Notamacropus eugenii: one gene and its partners. The protein of the gene in region 2 interacts with the protein of the main gene of each other region in a pairwise test. Links are inferred from orthologs where the notes say so. Each region holds a gene or a part of one and is shown on either strand. Other genes may lie near its edges. The genes, in order: NUP58, PKNOX1 and PBX2.

Region 1 (7,709 bases), about 220 Mb from region 2:
TCAGTGTTCATCCAATCTATATATTCTTTCTTATTTTATATACAATAGCCCTCTCTGTCAAAACCTTATTAGGATTCAGAATTCTAACTTTAGGGACCATCACTTTGATTTCAGTTGACTATGGTCCTTTTCTGGCTCTCTATCTGAAGCAACCAGAACTCACTGAACAAAATTATTAAATAGATGGCATCACAGATGTAATTGGAGAGGAAGACCTGAGTTTATATGCTGCCTCTGGCTGTGTGACCTTTGATAAATCATTTGGCCTCTCAATGCTCTAGGCCAGTGTTTCTTAAACTGTGGTCCCATATCATGCGCTTTAAGAAGCACTGAAGGGGTCTTGAGTGGAAAAAATTTAAGAAGCCCTGCTCCAGGTAACTCTCTCAAGGCCGTAAGTTGCAAAGAAAATGTTGACCTACATTGGTACGTATTTCTTCATCTGACAGTTCTTTATACCAGTGAAATCATAGGTCTAGTTGTGGTCTCAATATAGGTGCTAAACCAATAATTTACATTTTGCATTCTAAAGACAATGTAAATAATTCCAGTCTAAACTTGGGTAAAATTCTAGTATTTATTCAACCAAAATCTATTCAGTGAATATCTATGGGCAAATCATTATGGAGAAAACAAAAGGGGATAATTCAAGAACACGTATTATGCACTTGCTCTGCAGAATATAGTAGAAAAGGACACCTAGGCATTCAGAGTTCTATTTGAAGTCAGGAAAACTCATCTTCCCAAGCTGAAATCTGGCCTCATACACTTATTAGCTGTGTGGCCCTGGGAAAGTTACCTAACCTTGTTGGCCTCAGTTTCTTCATTTGTAAAATGAACTAGAGAAGTAAATGGCAAACCACTCCAGTATCTTTGCCAAGAAAACTCCATATAGGGTCACAAAGAGTCAGATCTGACTGAAAACAAGGAGCAACAAAATGTAGAATAGTAATGGCAGTAAATGCTGGAGATACAAGGAAGAAAAAAAATGAATCTATGCCCTCTTAAGATTCTGATCGTGGAGGATAACTCTAAAACAGGTTAGAATGTAATAAAGAGACCAAATGGATACAGCACTAGCCTAAGCATGTGGAAACCTGTTCTGTACTTGCTGGTTATGTGACCTCTTTGGGAGAGTCACTTAACCTCAATGAGCCTGTTTTTTTATGGAGAGGGATGAGAATAGACTAGAAGATCACTAAGCTCCCTTCCTGCTCTAGTATTCTATGAAATCTCTATACATAGTAAAGATCAGAGAGAAAGGAAGCTGGAAATGAAGGAGCTACTTCTAGCTGGTAGATCAGATAAGACCTCATGGCTTCATGGAAGAAGTTGTATTAAGTCTCTGGCCCCAAGGAACTAACTATAATCTCACAGGGCATATTAAGACACCTAAACAAATAAATGTAATATAGTAGATCAACTGGTTTAGACAAGGCCTTACAACATATAAATTGATCCTGAATCATGTCTAAAATGTAATATAAAGCAGAATATAAGTGATATACAAGAAGCATATACAAGGTATGGCATGGGATCTGGTGGTGGGGAAGCAGGAAATCATGGATTGGACAGGGAGTGAAAGATGACTCCAAAGTCTAAGGTTTGAGCTAAGTGTGAATACAGTGGTGACATATTATAAACAACATCAAAAAACAAAGAAGGATCACAAATACCAAATGCTGTAAAATTAACATTATGCCATGCAAAATATGAATGATAAATATTAAACAATTTATTCATGGGAGGCAGCTAGAGTGGAGCAGTGAATAAAGCAGTGAGCCTGGAGTCAGGAACACCTGAGTTCAAATCTAGCCCTGAGGATTCTGTGCAAGTTATTTAGCCTCTATTTGCCCGTAAAATGCAAATGATAATAATAACAGCCCTACCTCCCAAGGTTGTTGTGGGGATCAAATGAAGCAATAATTGTAAGGTCCTTAGTATAGTGACTGGCCCAAAGTAGATGCTGCATAAATGATAACTATTGTCATTATTATAATACCTTTTTATTTTTTGTCTTACACCTAATATAGGGGTAGGGACTGGACCTATGATTTCATTGGTATAGGAAACTCAGACCCTACCCTTCAATTTAAACTCCTGGAGAGCTGCCTAGGGCACTGAGATGTTAAGTGACTTGTCAAAACGCCAGTCTCTGTCAGCAGTAGGTCTTGGGACTCAAGTATTCAAAATTCCAAAGCTTGAAGTTCTCTATACACATCTATCAAATTAGAAAGATCACCGTACAAATAAGAAGTCTAAGCTCCTGGGCCCTGGAAGTCATCGATGAAACCCACTAAGAGAATAGTTTCATTAATATTAAGAATTTCAGAATCTGATATAGAACCAAAGAGTCTGGATTCAAATCCCTATCCAATCTGCTAGTGAAGAGGCTTTTCACCTGGGATCTGAGGACAGATTTCAAAGTGTAAGTGAACTTGGAGAGTGGAAAAAATTCATTCCTGTGTATTTTACTTTACACATGTAAAACCATTCTGAGAAGAAATCGACAGCTTTCCCCAGTCTGCCCAAGGGCACAAAAAAGGCTACGCATCCTGGCCCTAGCCCCTGGAACCACCAAGAACCTGTCTCTGGGGACCACTTTTTGCCCTTTCTCGGTATCCCCGGCGCTGCCCACGATGAAGAAGCGCTCTCTCCGGGCCGGGCACCGGGCTAAGTGTTACCCAAACGCTGGGCTCACAAAGAAAAGCAAACACAAAGAGCCGCCGTTCTAATCCGGCGCTCAGTCCCCTCGCCCCCATCCCTAGGCCTCCACGCCCGCAAGCCCTCGGCAGCCCGCAGAGGTCTCACACTGCGCCGCCAGAGCCCAAGGTGAAGACCGCCGAGGAAGAAGAGCGAAGCTCCCCTGGGTGATGCGGAACCCTGCGGGGACAGTGCGGCTCCTCCGAGGGGGGAGGGGAAGGAGGGGCGGCGCCGGCTCCGCCCTGGGAGGAGGGGCGAGAAAGGAGCCGGACGTCAGGCCGAGGAGGTGGGGAGGCCGGCCCGCGAGACGCTCCCGCGTTCGAGCTGGGCCGGGGCCGAGGGGCGCGCGGCTGCGGCGGGGAGGAGATAGCTTACCTGGAGGTGCCCGTCCCGAAGGAGAACCCTCCTCCTGTGGTCCCGGTGCCCCCCGTGGCGGTACCCACGGAGCCCAGCGTCCCCGTCCCGAAGGAGAAGCCCGTGGACATGGTTGAAGCCGGCCAGCCGCGGCCTGGGCCTCGTGTCTCGTCTCAGCGCCGAAGGGGAACCCGCAGCATCCCCCCTACAGTGGCCGGCCGGGCTAGCGGACGGGCGGGAACTTCGGTCCAAACCAGGGGGCGGGAAAGAGGAGCGAGCGAGCGGCCGCAACCCCTGGGCCCGCGCACGCCGCCGCGCGGGAGCCGGCCGAGCCACCGCGGTGCACCATGGGATGGAAGCCGGGCGACGTCAGCAGCGCGCGTCTTAAAGGGACAGGGGCCGGTCCGGAGCCACCCTTCCGATGAGTGCCCTGTCCTTCGCCTTAATGTGATTGATTTCGTGGGCACATGTGGCATCGGGGCCCCAGGTAGAATGTTGGACCACAGGTTTAGAGACAAGAAGGGACTTTATGTGTCATTGACTCAAACCTCATTTTACGGATGAGGAAGCTGTGACCCAGAGCGGTCCAATCAATCAATCATCGATCAAGATTAAGCGCCCACTGTGCCAGACGTTGTGTTACGGCCAGGGATAGTAAAAGAGGCAAAGTCATAAATTAGTGGGTGTTGCCCACTTCAGTCCCTATTAAAACAAAAAAAGGAGGGGACAAAGTGAGTCAAAATGGCTGTAAGTGAACTTTTGCACAATTACCAAGATTTTGAGGAGCGAGGTAATGGTAATTTAAAAACTCGCTAGGATAGAAAGCCTGGCCTCCGTTATGGATCTGGCCCTTCTGAATCCTCCTTTTGACAGTTCTAAAATGAAAGGTGCTCCATAACCCTTAATCCAAAGCCTAGGAATGGGAAATACCAGAAGGGAGTGGCTAGAATTAAGAAGGGCTGGGGAGGACTTCCAGCAAAAGAGGAGCTTTTAATGGCCAAGGAGGCCATTGGGGGAGGGGAGGAAGGAGAGAGTTCCATGCCTGGGGGACGGCCAGAAAAAAAATTCTCATTGATTAAGCACTTGCTAAGTGCAGGGAATACAAAGAAAGGCAAAACCAATTAAATTCTCTGCTTTATTGGTGCTCACAGTCTAATAGAGGAGACAACCATATACATATATATATATATATATATATATATATATATATATATATATATATATACACACACATATAAATGTATATATGCATGCATACATACACATACATGTATGTGTATGTATGTATATATACACATACATATACGTTATATATACAACTATATATGCAACAGATACATACAAGATAAATTGGAGATAATTAAGAGAGGAAAGCCATTCTGAAGAAAATGGGATTTCAGCCGGGACTAGAAAAAAGCTTATAAGTTAATAGAGGACATCAAGTAGAAGAGCATTACTTGCCTGGAGGACAGCCATTGAAAAGGGAGCTTCTTGCTCCTCAAGTGGCCTTAACATCCATGCAGATAACTCCCTGTTCTAGCCCTAGGCAGTCTCTGGATCTCTAGTCCCACATCACCAACTACCTGTTAGACATTTTGAACTTGGATAGGCATCTTAAATGTAGGCATCTTGTAGGCATCTTAAATTCTAGTGCCAAATAGTAGTCATTCTCTTTTCCCCCAAACCAACCTTTCTTCCAAACTTCACTGTTTCTGTTGAAATGCTTCTCACTCTCCCACATCCCATATATCCATTGAGTTGCTTGATCTTTCCATTTCTACCTTTATAACATTTTTCTCACATCTAACCTTTTCTCTCTACTCTTAATCACCACCTTAGTCTAGGCCCTGATAATGTTTAATATAAAATTTTGGAATAATCTCTTTGTTCTCTCTGAAGCAAACTCAGAGAATGCCTCTTCCTATGTCAGCAAAAGCCAGCCAAAGCTGACTCTGCATTCCTTGGAGACCTTTAACCTATGACATATCTTGAATAATGGGTCTTTCCTTTGTATCTTATTATCTATAGACACATACTATGTTATGGCATATTAATGGTAAAGAAAATATAGACATCTTAGGTCATAATTTCTATTGAACATTGTTTGCCCCTTCCTGTGTCAGTTATCTGGGGTGGGATTTCCTTCCTTGTCACCAAGACATATGTTTACCCAGCTTGGAATCTCAACATTTGATTGACATTACTTTGTTAATTGTCTTGTCTTACTAAATTTATGATTTGTTCAACTAGGAGAGTTCCTTTCTCACGGCAAAATGTATATAAGCCAGAAGATTTCTGCACTGGGTAGCCAGAACATTTCTGGCTCCATAATGCATTATGTAACTGTTTTCTTTAATAGGGAATTGATTAATTAATTAATTAAATCATAAAATGTATGCATTTAGCCTGCTGCCTTTCTTTAACCAAGTTTTCAGGTCAACAGCCCTCATCACTACTCAGCTAAACAATTGCAAAAACTGCCTTATTGCTATCCCTGCTTCAAGTCTTTACCCATCCAGTTCCTCTTTCCCTCAGATGCCACTGATCATCCTTAAGTGCAGAGCTAATGATGTAATTCCCTTACTCAATAAACTTAAGTGGTCCCTATTGTAAGTAGGATAAAATATAAACTCTTCTGTTTGGTTTTTTAAAGTCCTTCACAACCTGACCCCAACCTACCAGTCCACTCTGATTATACATTACTTCCTTTGTTGTACTATCCCATCCAGCCTCAGGGCTATCTCCAGTCATTTTGATTATATCTTGCCACTGGCTAGATGGCTCCAGAGGAGAAAGTGAGACTGGTGACCTTGCACAGCCCTTAAATCCAGTTCATTTGCATGTCCTAGCATCATCTTCCTGATGTCATGGTTCTCTTTGAGAATGAAGGATAAACAGTGACTTGTGAGTAGTCCAAGCTGCTTCACTGGGGATCCAACTGGCCGGTTCCAGTTGGACAATGCAACTCCTTCCTTCTTTCATCCTTTCCCTTGTTAGCAGGATTTTACTGAGTCATTTTTTAATCTGAGAATGATGCAACTGCAGACTAGAGACAAAGTGCAAGTAATCAGGTAGCCATTTAATTAATTAGTTTCATTATGAGGAGTAGATTTGCAAATCAGGAATTCTCCTGATCAGAATTCCACCTTGCTGAAGTGATGACAGAAATTCTATACATAAAACACCAATGGGATGGAAGAGTAGAAGAGTAGAAGGTGGATTACAGTCATTCCCAGGGCCAGAGTAGTTTCCCAGGATAAACCCACAATTTTGGAGTCCTATAAGAGCAACACTGCCCAAGTCTTGGGAGTGTAATGGTAAGGGAATTTGAAAATCTTCCCTGCCCCTTAATAGGCCCATGTGACCTGCTTTGAGCTTTGGCCCAGTCCACAATTTGAGTCTCATAGAGCTGATGGTGGAAGGAGCTTGCTGAATGGGTGGAGCAAGAAGGATACAGCAGGAAGAGAGGAAGGTGGAGCTGAGAGGCAACAACAGTCAGAGCAGAGCAGCTAGCCTAGGTGGGAGAGGGGCATTTTGCCTAAGGGGCCTTGTTTGTGGGGAGGCCTGACCAAGGGAATGCTTGGGGATGGCTGTGCTCTCTATTGGTAATGTGTATAAAGTTCATTGTTACTATGGTGGAATTGGCTTTCTGGTATCTGAATAAATTATCTTTGTTTCATCTTTGAGGAAGAGAGTTTATATTTTGCGAATTTACCCTCAAAATACACCTGCATATGCATATCCTGCTGTAGGTATCTCACCCACGCTACAGGGGGTCATTACTTAGTGGGTCACAGGTTCTACAGGCTTGGTCTGAAGGCAGAAGGATGCCAGTGATTGAGTCTTGTCAAGGTTTGATTTATGAGTTCAAACTGCATTGTGAATGACCCACAAGCTAGAAAAGGTAATTCTGCAAAATCAAATCTATTGGTGTATTCATTACACATATATTGATTATTATAAAAACCAGAATTCCCTCCACACCTTGCTTTCCCTCTACTCTTCCCTAAACCTTTCCCTTCCTTTTTCCCTTCCCTCTGTCCACTTAGGGTTATCATATCCTTATATGCTAGTGCTTTGCCCAAAGTATGTAAATTTTGATGGTTGAAACCTAGCAAGATATCTTGGGATTTAAGGGCTAGAATTCTTGCTTAAGGACAATGCCTTAAACGTAATTCACTCTGGCTCTCATTGATTGTCAAGGAATAGGTCCCAGGCCAAGCCCCACTTGGTTATTGTTTGGACCCTGATTGTCTCAGAGTGAATGTAAATAGTAATTGTTTCTGTTTTGGCCAGAAAACCTCAGGGTCTTCCCCTCCCAAGATAGATTTTTTTTTTTTTGATTACATGAAAGAGGCCATTCTTTGCCTCATTTCTTACCTAGCCTTAATCACTGAATGGGTGTTGCCTTAGTTAAACAGACCTGGGAAAGATCTTAGCTTAAAAAGGTCAAGGTCTCCCACTTCATCCAGGGCCATCTCCAATAGTCCTGATCTATATCTTGTCACTGGACCCAGATGACTCAGGAGGAGATAGTGAGGCTTGTGACTTTGTACAGCCCTCCCTCACTTAAATCCAGTTCACTTGCATCTCATGGTATCACCTCCCTGATGTCATGGTTGTCTTCCAGAAAGAAGGAAAAACAATCATCCAGC
Region 2 (8,422 bases):
AATCAGAGCTGTCCTAGATTAAATCAGTTTGAGAGTACTGAATGTTTATAACTTCCCAGCCTTTCCCATTGGTCCTGGAATAACCAATACTCAATACCCCCAAGAAAGCAGAAACAGAAACAGCCCAGACCTTCCCTCTATAAGTGCTACTAATTAACCCCCGGACCAAAGTCAGGAAATAGACTAGAAGAATGGGCAAACAAAAGAATTGCACTATAAAGAGATATTTTGGTGGCAAGGAAATTTAAGACGCAAAACAGAGACAAAAGAATGACTCCAGAACATCATAAAAAATACAACTTGGGCAAAATAATAATTATTATAGCTGACTTTTAAATAGCACCTACTATGTGTCCAGGGGAGAACTAGCACCATTGGGGTGAGAGATTACTGAGCCCTATTCAGAGCTGCTCCTCTACCTTTGGTGTCCACCTTTTTCACCCAACTCTTACTTGTGGCTCTAAGAACCTGTAGCTTGCTAACCAGTTACACCGAATAAAACCATTTTGGCAAATGAGCTAAAGCAGGTTGAGGGTAACCAACAAATGTCAGACCTGGCGGTGAGTTAGAGGGATGTCTGCTCCAAGCATATGAAGACTTCTTCCTGGAAGAATGGGTAGAAGGGAACAATTTGTTCCAGCAACCATGAAGGCAGCTAAAGTAGGCACTGTGGGGAACACAGAACTTGGTCAGATATCACAAACACCAAAGTCATTCACTGCATCCTGGGCCATCGTTAGTCTTCCTGACCTTTGCCTTGCCATTGGACTTCAATGACTCAGGAAAAGAGAATAAAGCTGAACTCTTCCACACTTAAGTCCAATTCATGCACAAGTCAAGACATGGCCATTATGTTTTTGGTCCTCTTTGAAAATGAAGGAGGAGCAACTATGTGCCAGGCACTGTGCTAAGTGCTGTGTAATTATTATCTCATATGATCCTCACAACCATAGGTGATAGATGTTATTATAATCTTCATTTTACAGATGGGGAAGCTGGGGTAAGTAGAGGTTAATTGACTTGTCCAAAGTCAAATAGCTGGTAAGTATCTGAGCCTGGATTTGAACTCAGTTATTCCTGACTCCAGTGTTTGGTAAATACAAAGTCTCTAGTTACTAGGGGAAAGACTCACTATTTGATAAAAACTACTGGGAAAATGGGATAGCATTCTGGCACTTATTAGGTTTAGACCAACCACTTATACTATATAACAAGTTGGGATCCAAATGGATACATGACCTAGATAAAAAGTTACAATATAAACAAATCAGAGGAACAAGGAAGAAATTACTTTTTAGATTCATGTGCAGGGGGAAAGTTTGTGACTAAATAAGTTGTCACAGAAGATACAATGGATAATTTTGAGTATATAACATTTAAAAGTTTATTTTTTAACAAATCTAGAAGGGAAGCAAGCAATTAGGAAAAAAATCTTTAACAAATAAAAGTCTTATATACGAGATACATAAAGAACTGATTCAAATTTATAAGACTAAGAGCCATTTCCCAATAGATAAAAGGTCAAAGTATGACCTGGCCATTTTCAAAGGAACAAATCCATCCTATCAATAAAATATAAAAAATATAAAAAATCATTAATAGAAAAATGCAAACTGAAGCAACTTTGATGTTTTGATTCACCTATCAGACTGGCAAAAATGATAAAAGAGGAAAATGGTGAATATTAGAGGGGTTGTTGGAAAATAGATATACTTGTACAAATAAAAGGATCAGATTATTTGATTTTTGTCAATCTTTATGCACTTGTTTAATGTTTTCTAGAAAAAAAACTATGCAAATGTCACAAAATTTAATTCATCTTACTTTTCCTCAGTTCAAACTGTAAAAGTATCAAAAATCACCTTCAATGCAAAACTAATGAATGTAAAAATGTTTTAGCAGGATTTGCTTCATATGATAATTAATTGCATTAATATATTTCCTGGGGCATATCTTGAATTAGTCCTCTTAATGAAGAATAATCAACAACGAAAATAATGATAACAACACTTGTGCAGCTATTCCAGAAGGCAATTTGCCCAGAAAGTTACCAGCCTGTTGTATGACCCTTCTATAACACAAGTTGGCCTATGCCCCAAAGAGTTCAAAGAAAGTGGAAAATGACCTATATGCACAAAAATAGCAGCTCTTTTTGTAATGGCACAGAACCAGAAACTAAGGGGGCATCCATTAATTGGAGAATGGCTGATCAAATTATAATATGTGAATGTAATGGAATACTACTGTGTTTTAAGAAATGTTAAAAAGGAAGTTTTCAGAAAAACTTGGGAAGATTTGTGCGAACTGAGGAGAATCAGGAGAATAATTTATGCAATAACAACATTGTAAAGATAAGCATTGCAAGATCTAAGAACTGTACTCAATGCAATGCCCAACCACTATTCCAGAGGACTCAACAGTGAAATGTGCTATCTACCTCCTGACGCAGAGGTGACGTACCCAGAGTGTAAAGTAAGATAAATCTTTTGAACATGACCAATGCATGAATTTGTTTTGCTCGAGTATGAATATTTATTATAAGGGTTTTTCTTTCTTTTTTCATGAGGTGGGGAGGTGGAAGGGAGAGAGATGAATTTTCATCGAGTGAAAATTTTTTAAAAAAATAATATCAATATATAAAGAAAATATATGTCCAACAAAAGCAGTGGTCATTGTGTTGGAGTAGATCCAGTATAGAGTTCAAGTTGAAGATCTGTTACCCATAAATGGTGATGTCCTTCAGGTTTGTTGTTTACTGGTAGTTTAGAAATACCGAAGAGGTTGCTAATAGAGATAAATAACCTCTCAGTCTGAAAATCCACAAAGAAAAGATCCAAATGGATAAAGAATGTCTATTGCCTAAGTTATGACGTTTTTATGAACAAACTACAAAGTTTGTCTATCATCATATATATCTGAAACATTGTTTTCATGGACAATTAATTACATAGGCTAAGAATTGAACAGGAAGAGGAGAGCAGTCTGTATAGTCTTTGAAAAATTGCAAAGCACCTTTAATGGTCCAAACTTCTCCTAAAAATAAAGTTTCTTCTTTTTAATACTAACATTCTATTAGTGTCGCTGCATGGAAATGAGATATTGGATAAACAGTTCCTGAATAATAACATTTTATTTATATAGCTTTTTAAGGCTTGCAAAGCACTTTATATTACAGTTGAAAATAAATATCACAAAAGGCAATGAAGAGACACATGGTAGATGTAAACACATAGCAACAAATGAAGAACTTCAAAGAGCAATAATAAAAATTGTCATCAAAGAAATGTGTGCTAGGGAAAGATAGTCACAAAGTGAGATCAAGCCATTCTTGGTGGAATAAGAGGGCTCCGCAGGTAATCTTTGTAGTACCATCAAGCCAAAGTAAAGATAGCTTCCCCCTTTTGGTGAATTTATGGAAGGACATAGATAAGTACTGAACAGGATGGGCAAGCATTTGTGTAATCTGCACCCCTGAAGAGAATTTCCAAATTAATGAGATCATACATCCATTTGAGCAACTGAGTTAACATAAAATATTACCTTTTCTTTCAAGAAAACCAACTTCACAATTACAAGCATAGAGATTAAGAGTTTCCATGCATTAGACAGCTAGATGGCACAGTGGATTGAGTGCTTGTCCTGAAATCAGGAAGATCTGAGTTTAAATTCTTAGACACACACTAGCTGTGTGACTCGGAGCAAGTCACTTAATCTCTGTTAGCCTTAGTTTCCTCAAATGTAAAATGGTAATAATATTAGCACTTACCTTCTAGGGGTATTGTGAGAACAGTAAAACATCTATGCTTAATATTTGCTAGTTTCTTTCATTATAAATCCAAAATGAATTTACAGTGTGACATGGAAGCAAAAAAAAAAAAAATCTAAAGATGAAGATAGTCCAATTATACTTTACTTTGCTCAAACCACACACAGAGTGTTTCTAGGTCCCACCATTTAGCTAACACATTTATGAGCTGGATGGTGAATGACCTTGAGTTAAAAACATATGAGAATTTACTGAAAGAACTGAGAAAGGCTTAGCATAATGAGAAGACTTAAAGTGGCTTGATAGCTGTTTTCAAGTATTTGAGCCTGTAAAACGTAATAGATTTATTTTTCTTGATTCCACTAGATAGATATAGGAATACTGGGCAGAAATTGTAAAGAGGAAAATTGAGGCTTCGGTAAGGAAACCTTTCCTAACAATTTAGTGTCATTCAAAAGTGGAACAGGTTGCATTCCCATGGGGTGCTGCTCTTCCTCAAAGGGAGGTCTTTAAGCAATGACTGAACCATGGGTCCTATAAATGAGATTCTTTTCTCAGGTACAGACCGGACAAGAGGGTCATCGAGGTCCCTTTCAATTCTCAATCTCTGAAAAAGAAATGTAGCCCAAAGTCGGAAAAGGAAGGTTTGCAAAGTTCCTTTCGATTTTTGTGGTGTTGTGCAAAATCCCCCGAGCGATCACTCTGCTGTCAATTCGAGCCTTTAATTTTTAAGGAATCTGCAATAATTTGTAAAACGTTACTAGGTTAGTATGCATTACACCTTGGGCTGGTAATGGGATAGAAGAAAACTAATCAATTCTTTCTAGACGGTGAAATTCTGCGTTGGGTGGGGGGGAAGCAGGGTCTTGGTAGCAGTCCCTCCTCCCTAGTCCCCTCCTCCAACCTGGAGGAAGCCTTCATCCACCCAAGGATCATCTTCCCTCTACAGTTTTGCACAAATGCACGCGAGTCAAGAGATTACGATTAGAGAAGGAAGGGCACAGTGGTGGTCGGATAAAAAAGGGCTGGGGGAGGACTTCCAGTACCTAACCAACAAACACATTTTCAAAACCTCCCGAACTTTGGCCAGAGGGAGAGTGGGCGTGGCCAAAGGCTCCTCCCTCCCTGCGCAGCAAAAAAAAGCTAGGGGTGTGGCCTGTTCCTCTTAAGCATGGAGGCGGAGGGGGGAGGGGCAGGAGGGCCCAGAGAGGAAAGGCTGCGTTCCGAACTCCCTCCCAGCCCGCCCCTTCTCCCAGAGTCCCCACCCCCTGAGCGCAGACTCACGGGGTGGGAGGAGCTTCCCCTGCGAGGGCCCCGCCTCTGCTTTGAATATTGATAAGGTGAGCGTCGGCGTAGCCCTCCTTCCATTGAATGAGGCTGTGTCGCGTGGCCCGGCGTCGGCGTGACGGTTGGACGCGGGTGCGGCACTGCGGGTCCCGATTGCTGCAGCCGCTTGTCAGTGTGATGAAGATTGGCACCCAGGTAAGCTGTCACTCAACCGCTCCGCCGCCGCCGCCGCCGCCGCCGCCGCTCTCCGCCGTCCCTATCAATCACACCGGCCTCCCCGCCGCCGCCCCACTGCTGCCGCCCAGGCCGTTCGTGGGGAGAAGAGATGCCACTAAGCCGCGCCCAAGGGCATGGAGCAGGGACGGGGCAGGGGAGGGGGCCGCGTTTGAATGCAGGAGGGACCGGAAAGGCGGGGGGAAGAGGAGGCCGAGGGAGGCGGCCCACCCTGCAGTCTGGAAAGGGTTTCCACGGTGTTGGTGTCCATACGTGAGACTAGGAAGGAGGAAATTTCTGGAAGGAGCCGCCGCGCTGGGCCCCGCTGCGAGGCGCGCGCTCCTAAACCGTCCCTGGTGGAGCACTGCGCGCGCTCCTGCACGGGGCGGGGACAAGGGGGAGGCGGCCGGCAGGGGAGGGGGCATGGGGAGGCGCGCTGGGCCGCGCCGCGGGGTGTGGAGCTCGGCGGGGGGGAGCCGGGGAGGGCGGAGGAGGGGACGAGGCAGCCGGGGTGGAAGCGGGCGGCCGCTGGTCGCCGCCTGCAGTCGCGCGGCCTTCGGCGGCTCAGCTGAGGGGTGCCCGGGCCCGGGGTGGGGGGGAGAGTCTTCTTGAAGGTGTTGGGGAGCAGAGCCGTTTAAAGGGACCGGTGGGGCGCTTTGCTCCATCCCCGCTACTTCCACCGACCCAGACTGGTGCAGCTTTTTCGGCTTTGGGGTTTTGGGGGCGCGGGGGAGAAGGAGGCTGGAGGACGGCGAGGGCAGCGGGGAGAAGAGAGGTTGTATAATGGTGGAAGGAAGAGTTGAAGATGGCGGCTCCTCCTGCTCTCAGGATGGGGGCAGGGAAATCCCTGGAAGAAGGAGTAGGGGGTGGGAAGCACCTCCCTGGCTGGGTGCGCCTGTTTGGGGTGGACTTCCCCACCCCACCCCCCTTCAGCTGTGGTAGTGGTTGCAAGCGAGAGTCGTATCTGGCAAGCAGCAGGCTTTCCGATCCTGGCCGTGGGACAGAGTTCAATTTCGTTTGGCTTTTCTGTGGCCTTCCCCCCCATTGAGCTTAAGCCACTGACTTCCACGTGCGCTGTCGTGGGATGTGCAGTTTCTTCCCATCTCTAAAACTTGGAACTGGATGGGAAGCTGGAGACCAGAATGCCGTTAATCACTACAATAATGAAAATATACCAAGCCCTTGAAGAATCGACCATAAACATGAACACTTGCTTCATGATATTTTCTCCCTATTTCCCAAATACTGTTTTTTTAACCGAGTCAGATCATTAAAAACAAAGAATAATTTTTTAAAGATCTGTACCTCGTGTCTTACACAAGTTAAAATGTACAATAGACCCCCCTTTAAGGCTTAGATCTTGGAATCCAGGGAATGTCACTCACTAGTCAATGGAAGCATAGAAGGCCTGAGAGGAAGGTTAATAGATCTTTAGTTATGATTCCAAATAGAATTTGGCAATTTTCGTCATCCTTATAAGGCTGACTCAGTTAAACATTTCAGAACCTGCCATTCAATAATAATAGCTGACATTCGCATACATTTTGTAAAGTTTGTGAAGTACTTTGTTTGGTTCTTAGACCTTATAACAACTCTGAACTAGGCACTTACGGGTATTTGTATCCCCTTTTTACAGGTCAGAAAACTGAACTCAGAGAGGTATAAGTGACTTGAGTTGCCCCTTAGTGCTAATAAATATGGCAGATAGGATTTTTTAAACCTTGAGTCTTCCTGACGCCAAGTTTAGCACTCTTTGGACATTTGTCTTTTCCAACCTTTCCAAGGCCAGACCCTCCACATTTGCCCTCAGAATCAGCATCCTTTTCTTCTTCAGCTGAATCTGGTCCCATTGTCATCCTTTAGCTCTCTAGTACTCACCTTACCTATTGATCTCTTTTCTACTCATTACAAACCTGCTAGCTTCAACTCTTATCTTTAACTCCTCTCTGGACTATATCAACCCTGCAAACTGTTAATCCTTTTTAACTTCTTGAAAAATCCGAACTCACTTACGCGCTGCCTTCACTTGAAGTCTTCTCACGTCTCAGTTTGTTAGTATCTCGTTCCCTAACTTGTCCATTCAACAGAAACTTAAAAGTCACAATCTTTTAATTTTGTGAATAATTTTATTGATGTCTTTTGTTTTAAAATTTGTTTACTGTATCCTTTCCCTCTCAGTGGCCTCCCTTACAGAGTAAGGATGGGGACTGCACTTACGATTCTCTCTACCACTGCAGGTTCTCATCTTTTCAGCAACTTAATATTAGTGAGTTGTGACTTTAATGAAAGAGAAGAAAGGAAAAAAATTTGTAAAACTAGGTATCATATCAAAAAGATTGGATATAAGCAGTATTCCACACTCATGGTCCCCTCCTTTGCTAAAATGTAAAAAAAAAAAAAATAGGAAAGGTGTCTTTACATAGGTGTTATTTGATAGCCAGGCTTGGTCGATTGTTCTTTCCGTTTCTATTGTCTTTGTTTATGTTGTTTTCCTGGTTCTTTCCATCCTTTTTTGAGAAGCAGCAGCTGTACTTTGCATCAGCTAGTGACTTCTAAATTTGCAAAATATGATGACACTATGTTGGTTCTTATCCTTCTCCAACTTCTTTACAGAGTTTGACACTGTTGACTATTATCTCCTCTTGGATACTATCTCCTCTCTAGGTTTTTGAGATGGTGTGTTCTCTGTCTCTGTGTCTTTCTTTTACTCTCCCTCTCTCTCCTCCCCACTATTGTTTTCTAATTTCATATGTTTGTCCTCCATAGCATTTCATAGGTTTCCCCCAAAACTGTATGCTAGGACTCTTTATATTTTTTCTGTTGGTGACCTCATTAGCTCCCATATATTCAATTATTTTTATAAAGAGGAGACCCAGATCTAGATTATGTAGCCCTTAGTCTTTTTTTCAAGCTCCAGGTCAGTCCTGTATTAACTCTCTGCTCCCAAACCGAATTTATCCTCCCCCACCCACCACCCTATCAAAAGCTTCTAAAGGTCTAGAACATTTATTGAGAAAGGGCTCTGGACAATTAACTTGATTATTGGTAACTTTTAAGAGTAGAGTTTCAATATAGTAGGGGTCAGATGTCTAGGTTTAGAGAAGGGAAGAAGTGGTTTGGAGGTTGAGAAAGGGGGTGACTCAGTTTGATGGTGAA
Region 3 (7,778 bases), on a different chromosome or scaffold from region 2:
TGTTTCAAGATGAAACTTGTTGGGAGAGGCTCCAAAGTTGTTTTGTGCTACCAAAGTTGTAAATACTTGTAGTTTAATTAACTGATGTAGAAGCTTCTCAAATTGGAATTCTTCATTCAATGTGGAGGCATCCAGGAGAGGGCAGGAAATTCCAAGACAGAAGAATTTCTGTTAAGTCATTTGGTCTCTCTGAACTTCAGTTTCCTCATCTGTAAAATGGGTATAAACCGTGAATGAGTAGCACCTTCCCTTCTCTTCCCTGCCCTCCCCTCCTGTTCTGCACAGGGTAAGGTAAGCTCCATGGCCAAAAGCTGCCTTTTTTCCTTTGGGTTTACTGGCTACATTTCTTGCTCAAAGATCAAGCCTTTAACCTAATTCATTCTGGAGCTCATAGACTAGACAAGTCCCCACCCACCTAGCACAGAGTGGATGCAATAACTAAATGGTAACTGTTTCTCTTTTACCCAGGAACCCTGAGGGTCTTCCTCTCCCAGTTTGACTTTTTTTTTTTTATTAAAGGGGCCATCTCTTGAGTAACTTAGAGAAGCCTATTCATTGAGTAGGTGTATCTCACTCAAAGTAAGATTGTGCTAAGACCTTAGCCTGAAAGGGCCTGGGTCTTCCATTGCATCCTGGGCTATCTCCAGTCTTCCTGCTAAATATCAGGCCACTAGCCCCAGAAGGCTCTGGAGGAGTAAGTGAGGCTGGTGACCTTGCACAGCCCTCCCTCACCCAAATCAAAGTCAACTGCAAGTCATATCTTCATCTTGATGTCGTGGTCTTCTTTGAGAATGAAGGACAAATACAACACAATATAATATTGGCACTCCCTACATCAAGATTTGTTTTTGTTTTTTAATGAAAGAAAATGATAGATAAATGTGAAGTATCACCATTAAGATCCTCCAGCCTCCCAGCAGGAAAGAACCTCCCCTAGCCCCTAGGTGGATATGGGCAGGGGGAGTGGGGGTGGGGGGTTTTACAGAGAAAGAATCTTCTATAAGGTCAAGGCTATTCCCTAAGGGAGGGGAAGGACTGAAGGGGGGGAGGAGTAAAACCACTTCCTCTACAGCTAGTTCCTGTGTTGACAGAGTCAGCTAGGAAGAACAGACCTGTTTTGGGGGGAGGTGTAAAGAGAAAGAGGGAGCAGTGCTGAAGACTGATAGAGTCTCCCCAATAGCTATTTCTCTCCATCAACATTCATTTCCCCAGCACTCTCAAACTGACAAAAGCAGATTTTATTGTATCCCTCACACTCCCTTGGGGATAAGAGACTGAGAGTAGTAGAGGGTGGAAAAGGGGAACAGGAGGAAGTTGGGGGGGAGCGTCACCAAGAGCGATGGGTGGGGCTTAGGATGGGGGGGGGGGCGATAACCCAGAACCCAGCTTCCTTCTTAGAACCCAGGCATCTGGCCCTCAAGCTCTCCCCCCCCAACCCTATTCCATCTCTTGCTACCTTCAAGGGCTCAGGTGTCCAAGCCTACAACCATCACTACTGCCTCCAACCCCCTTCCCACCTCCCCTGTTAAAGGGGATGGAGACAGAGAGACTTCAGGAAGAAGAGGAAGATGAGATTGAGCAGGTGAGTAGGGGAAAGTTGGGAGGAAGGTATAAAGAGGAAAATAGGTACAGGAGAACAAATTAAGACTCTTAGAAATACAGAGTATACAGACAGACAAACAGAATGGGTTGGAGTTCCAAGCCAGGCACTTTGTCTTGCCTCGGGATTAGTCTATCTGTGACCCTATCTATCATTCTCAGAGCTTTCCCCCAGATGATCAAGGCTGGCCCCCCCTGAATACTATCAGACCTTGGAGATCGGCACCCCCAACCCCTCCCCATTCCAGGGACCAAAACACAGGTAACTCAACTATTACTTCTCTGTGCTGCTTTAATCATGACCCCTGACCTCATTTCTGGCCTTAGTACTAATCTCAGACTCAATTCTAACCCCTGCCTCATTTCTAACTGGCAGGCTCCCCATCACCCCACTTCCCACCTATAAAGAGTGTGCCTTTTACAGCCCTCCAATATTCAATCCTCCCCCACCATATTTCTTACTGCTTCTCATGTCCCTATCTCCTTAACCTCTGACCATCACCCCTACACATATTCCCCCAGCCCTAGGACCCCGCTCGGCCTCCATGCTCTCCTTGCAGACAGAACTCTTCCTAGACTTAGTAGCAGAAGCTCAGTCCAAAAGGCTGGAAGGACAGAGAGCCACCTTCCATACTCCCCCTGGCTCCCTAGCCACATCTGCCCAAGTCCAGGTTACAGAGGACAGAGACCAGCTCTACAGCACCATCCTCAGTCACCAGGTGAGACCAGAGCCTTCCTCAATTCCCTTAGGTATCCAGTTCCATCCTGCCCCTCAGTCCCCAGGTTCCCTTTCATACAGCACCCATTCCTCTTACAGACCCAGGAATCTGTAACACCCCCACCCATTCTACCCATCTGTCCTTATCCCAACTTTTGTTTCCTTCAGAGAGAAAATCAGGTATCTAGCCCCAACCAGTTCCTAGATGCTCCCCTACACAATCACCCAACCCCCCAACCCCAGGACATCATTCCCTCAGGATCTTAGGCATTCAATTTCCCCTCCCCTGCTCACCTTACCTCTGCCCCTCCTTCTCCCCAGTGCCAGCGCATTGAAGCTCAGCGGTCAGACCCGCCCCTTCCACCAGGAGGGCAAGAGCTCCTGGAGCTGCTGTTGAGGGTGCAGGGAAGTGGTCGAATGGAGGAGCAAAGGTCCAGACCTCCTACACATACCTACTGAGCTCTCCCCTCCCCTCCTGAAGTTGGGGGTGGTGGAGTAAGGGACTGAGAACACTGCCTAAGAATTGTCTCAGCGAAGACCTGTCTCCAAAGGACACTAGGGACTGCAGAAGGCAGTGAACACCTCAGAATCAACTCCCCACCTCCATTCTTATGTGTGGGTGTACTGATGCTGAGACCCCTAAACTTTCCCCACTGAGGCCAGGACACCTGGAATTTCTCTAGGAGAATCAAGATTGGGGATAGGACGGACAAAGAAGAACAAGGACATTGTGGAGGGGGAAGGGGGTGAAAAGGGGAAATCTTTGTAATTTAAACTTTCCCTGAATGACACCTACCCACTTCCGTCCCACTTGGATCTGAAGTGCTGTGGTCAGAACAAAATTCAGTCTTAAGGAATGACTGAGACTATCTGGATCCGACCAGACGTACTGCCAGAAAATGTCAGTATCCCAAAGGTTTCACTGCCCTCCTAAGAAATTCCCAGGGGAAGTGAAAATGGGACAGCACCTCTACACCTTACCCCAGGTCTGTACCCAAGCTGAAGACTTCAATGCCCCCTGAGGGGGATCAATTTCCATCTACACTCCCTCCCTGCCTTCAGAGAGGCCAAGACCTTTGAGGGGATAGAGTGCTGCCCTAGATAAACAACTGTGGCCTCTTTCCCCCTTCCCAGCACCCTCCTTTCCCTTCAGTGAGGGGAGGGGTTTGGGAACTCTACCATCTTTCTCATCTTTTGAGAGGATGGGATGAAGGGGGAGATCCAAAGCCCGAGTGATCAGAGATATCACACCCCTTCTCCATCCTATCTTCCCAGATGTTTGATGTTTCAATTTTGTGAATAAATTTAATTTCCTTCTCAACTGAAGACTGGTGACTAAGTGAGAGGGGGGGGTGGGATCATTGGGGAGAGTAGCAAAGGGGAAAGGCCTGAGGCAAGGGCTGGGGAGCTCTCCTTTGTCTGGCTGCCGGCCAGCTCACCTCCCAGGCTGGTTAATTACTGGCTCATTAAGCATCGGCTGGAGACCTCCCTAATTACATGCCCACCCCCTCCCCTCCATGCCCGGCTCCCACTCTCCTGGTCTTAATTAAGTAGAACAGGGAGGGGAGTCTTTAGGACAAGAAATATGAACGGAGCTGTCCAAGAACCCAGGCATCTGGCATTCTAGCCCCTGCCCTTCTCAGGATTCAACTGCTACCCCTCCCCCTCCGGATCCTGATTTCCTTCCCCACTGAAGACCAAGATAAGCCCCAGACCCACAGTTTTCTCCTTTCCATCCTTCTCCCTAAAGAACCTTCTCCTCACACCATCTCCCTCTCCCCTCATCTCCTTCTCCTCCTTCTCCTTCTCTTCCCCCCCTCCTCCTCTTTGGTCTCCGTTCTTTGGTCTATCTCTCCGCCCACAACTCCTCCCTGTTCCTCCTCTCCTCTCTCCTCCTCTTCCTCCTAGTCTCCCCTCCCCCAGCCTCCCCCCTCCTCCCTCCCTCTCTCTCACACACACCCCCGCCTGGGCCTCCTCTCTCTCCGGCTCCATTTTCTCCGCCGCCGGGGGCCGGGGTCTCCTCTGGGGGGGCCCAGCCCATACCCCAGAGCTCCCCCCAAGGCAGGGACCCCCCAGGAAGCCAGGAGAGGGGGAGACAGGAAGGGGTGGTGGCAGTAGGAGCATCGGCCCAAGCAATTTTTCAAGAAAAGGGGGGAACCCGGGAGAGAGGAGGGGCTGATAAGGGAGGGGGCTCCGGGGGGAGGGGGGCCCCCCCCAGCCATGGACGAAAGGCTACTAGGGCCACCCCCTCCAGGCGGGGGCCGGGGAGGCCTGGGACTAGTAGGTGGGGAGCCAGGGGGACCTGGGGAACCTCCCGGTGGTGGAGAACCCGGAGGCGGGGCTGGGGGGGTCCCAGGAGGACGGGGAAAGCAGGACATCGGGGACATCCTGCAGCAGATCATGACCATCACCGACCAAAGCCTGGATGAGGCCCAGGCCAAGTGAGTCCCCCCCAAACCCTTCTCCAAATCTGAGACCTCTTCACACAGATGGGCTTTTGGGACCCTCCCCCATATCCCTGACCCCCTACAGTCCTCTCACTGTCTTTTGGTCCTTTCTAAGTCCCCCTAATTACTTTACCTCCTCCCCACCCCCTTACCCTAAGGAACTCTTCACCTCCTTAGACTTGCCCTCCACAATCTCTTTCGGTGCTTGTGAACTCCCTAAGTGCTCAGTCCCACTCCTGACCTCTCAGTAACCCCTAAACCCCTTGAAATAACCAATCCTTCAAGGTCTCCTTTTAGTACCCAGTCTGGGATTTTTCTCTTCACAGCTTCTAGTACCCCTACCCGCAACCACCCCCAGATCACTTGGTCACAATCTCCTGGTCACCCCGACCCTATCATTTTATCTAGATGCAGAAAGAATCCCCAAACTTTCCCACTTGAGCTTCCCTTGCTCCTCTACTGTTAGCTCCCTACAACTATCCCTTCCCCACAGTCCCCCTGTAATATCCTCCTAGTGACCCCACAAACTCCTCACCTCATTCCGTGCCCTGGCCCCCAAATATATTTTTCCATACCCCTTTGAAACTCATTCCCCCATGTTCCAGAACACAGTTTTCAATCTGTGGAGACATTTTTTTCAGTCCTCCCATGACACATATCACACACACACACACACACACACACGCATCCCTGGCAGACTTGGTCCCCTGCTCTGGCCCTCTGGTCTCTCAATTCCTTTGCCCCCATCCAACTTCTTTCTACCTTTCTTATTTCTCCCTGGAGTTCTCTCTCTATTCTTGGCCCTCACATTATTCAGTCTCTTCTCTAACACCCACAAAGCTCTTGAACTGACTCTTCTATCTTCCATCCCTCTTTTTTCCCCTCCTCCCCCAGGAAACATGCCCTGAATTGCCACCGAATGAAGCCTGCTCTTTTTAGTGTCCTATGTGAGATCAAAGAGAAGACTGGTATGTATGCTCCCCTTTCGCACTCCTTTCCTGGAAATGAAATCCATCTCACAATAGAGGTAGGGGAAACAGGGGGGATGTCTGGGTCCCCAACAAGTGGGAAGGTAGTTATGCAGAGTTCCCCAAGGAAAAAAAAAAAGAGCCTGCTGAGTAGTTAGATACCATAGACCTATAGCTAAAAAGAGTTCCCAACCCCCTCATTTTACAGATGAGGTAACTAAGGCCCAGGAAGGTTAAATAAAATTGCTTAAAGTTACACAGATAGTAAATGTGGGAAGTGGGATTTGAACCTACACCCTGAAGCCCCAATGCTTCATCCTGCATGGCAGGCCTCAGTATCCGAAGCTCACAGGAGGAGGAGCCTGTGGACCCCCAACTGATGCGTTTGGACAACATGCTTCTGGCAGAAGGGGTGGCAGGACCAGAGAAGGGAGGAGGGTCTGCAGCAGCTGCAGCAGCAGCGGCAGCCTCTGGTGGTGGAGTATCTCCTGACAACTCCATTGAGCACTCTGACTATCGAAGTAAACTGGCCCAGATCCGCCATATCTACCATTCTGAGCTGGAGAAGTATGAACAGGTACAGAGAAGCCTTTTGGGCCCAGGTCAAGGAGAGGGGCATTGGGAGGCTATGGATGGGACTCCACATACTAATCTGATGCCCCTGGTTATCCACCTAGGCGTGTAATGAGTTCACTACTCATGTGATGAACCTGCTTCGAGAACAGAGCCGCACACGGCCCGTGGCTCCCAAGGAGATGGAGCGTATGGTTGGTATCATCCACCGAAAGTTCAGTGCCATTCAGATGCAGCTCAAGCAGAGCACATGTGAAGCTGTCATGATCCTTCGCTCACGTTTCCTGGATGCCAGGTGGGGATTTTGAAATCTAGGATCCTAGCCCATGCCTCTTTTACTAGCCCTCTCCCCCTTATAGACCACCACCAACTGTCCCCCTCCCCACCACCACAATTCCATCTCTTAGGGCTCCAGCATTCTCACAAACCCTCTCCATTTCCCTGCAGAAGAAAACGCCGTAACTTCAGCAAACAGGCCACTGAGGTCTTAAACGAATATTTCTACTCCCACCTGAGTAACCCTTATCCCAGTGAAGAGGCCAAGGAGGAGCTCGCTAAGAAATGTGGGATCACTGTCTCCCAGGTAATGGTGTCAGGTACTGTGGCATGAAAGGCTTCTGTATCCCAAGGAGAGAGGGAGAAGAATAGAGGAGAAGAATAAGAAGAACTGAGAGGAAGGTTGTCAGTTCTTGGAGGGATGGAGGAAAGCAGGGCAGTCAAGTGGGGGTGGGGGGGGTCTTCAGAAAATGCTATTCTCCCTCTTAGCCCTCTCCTCTCCCTTGCACTCCAAAGGTCTCCAACTGGTTCGGCAACAAACGGATCAGATATAAGAAAAATATTGGCAAGTTCCAGGAAGAAGCAAATATCTACGCAGTGAAAACTGCCGTGTCTGTTACTCAAGGGGGGCATAGCCGTGCCAGTTCCCCTACACCTCCCTCTTCTGCAGGTTGGACCTCTCATCATTCCTTTGGTTTGCACTCCTGAATTTGTTTGCTTTCTTCTCCTGTCTGATCTCAGTTAAAGCAGAAAGGGACCCTATCTGGGTGCAGGTGACCAAAATGGGATGGTTTGGAACATATCACAGCCATCTTAGAGAACTTGCCCCTTGCCTTCGCTTCTAAACAGAGAAGGTCCATGGGAAGGGTCCATTTGGAGGGAAGGAGAAGATGAAATCTTCCCTTTCTGTACTGACAATGTTTTTTGCCAGTTCCTTGCATATGGAAGTAAACTTCCTAGGGAAATGGTTCTGTGGGGGATCCTGGGTAGAAGAAATGGAATCCAGATATCTGAGTTTCCCATCTTCCTCTCTATTCTTCTGCTTCCTCATAGGCTCTGGTGGTTCCTTCAACCTCTCAGGATCTGGAGACATGTTCCTAGGGATGCCCGGGCTCAATGGAGACTCCTACCCCAGCTCCCAGGTCGGTTGCACAGCATAAGGCTCCTTCTCAATACCGCGCCCCCTCCACACTCCCT

The links.
Region 1: the proteins of PKNOX1 (region 2) and NUP58 interact in binary tests that used the Homo sapiens proteins (3 or more experiments, as listed by UniProt). The link is inferred for Notamacropus eugenii from reciprocal best matches to the Homo sapiens genes PKNOX1 and NUP58.
Region 3: the proteins of PKNOX1 (region 2) and PBX2 interact in binary tests that used the Homo sapiens proteins (3 or more experiments, as listed by UniProt). The link is inferred for Notamacropus eugenii from reciprocal best matches to the Homo sapiens genes PKNOX1 and PBX2.

What each region holds. Positions count from the first base shown.
Region 1 is NC_092876.1:192,733,601-192,741,309, reverse strand, and holds the start of NUP58 (nucleoporin p58/p45), read right to left. Parts: upstream 3,426-7,709; 5' UTR 3,186-3,425; coding exon 3,076-3,185; intron 1-3,075. UniProt on the Homo sapiens protein: Component of the nuclear pore complex, a complex required for the trafficking across the nuclear membrane.
Region 2 is NC_092876.1:415,902,125-415,910,546, reverse strand, and holds the start of PKNOX1 (homeobox protein PKNOX1), read left to right. Parts: upstream 1-5,146; 5' UTR 5,147-5,248; intron 5,249-8,422. UniProt on the Homo sapiens protein: Activates transcription in the presence of PBX1A and HOXA1.
Region 3 is NC_092873.1:85,935,616-85,943,393, reverse strand, and holds the start of PBX2 (pre-B-cell leukemia transcription factor 2), read left to right. Parts: upstream 1-4,237; 5' UTR 4,238-4,537; coding exon 4,538-4,758; intron 4,759-5,658; coding exon 5,659-5,732; intron 5,733-6,061; coding exon 6,062-6,309; intron 6,310-6,409; coding exon 6,410-6,600; intron 6,601-6,752; coding exon 6,753-6,888; intron 6,889-7,097; coding exon 7,098-7,251; intron 7,252-7,634; coding exon 7,635-7,723; intron 7,724-7,778. Other genes in the region: GPSM3 (G-protein-signaling modulator 3), read left to right, coding at 1,535-1,582, 1,762-1,861, 2,122-2,318, 2,639-2,776. UniProt on the Homo sapiens protein: Transcriptional activator that binds the sequence 5'-ATCAATCAA-3'. Activates transcription of PF4 in complex with MEIS1.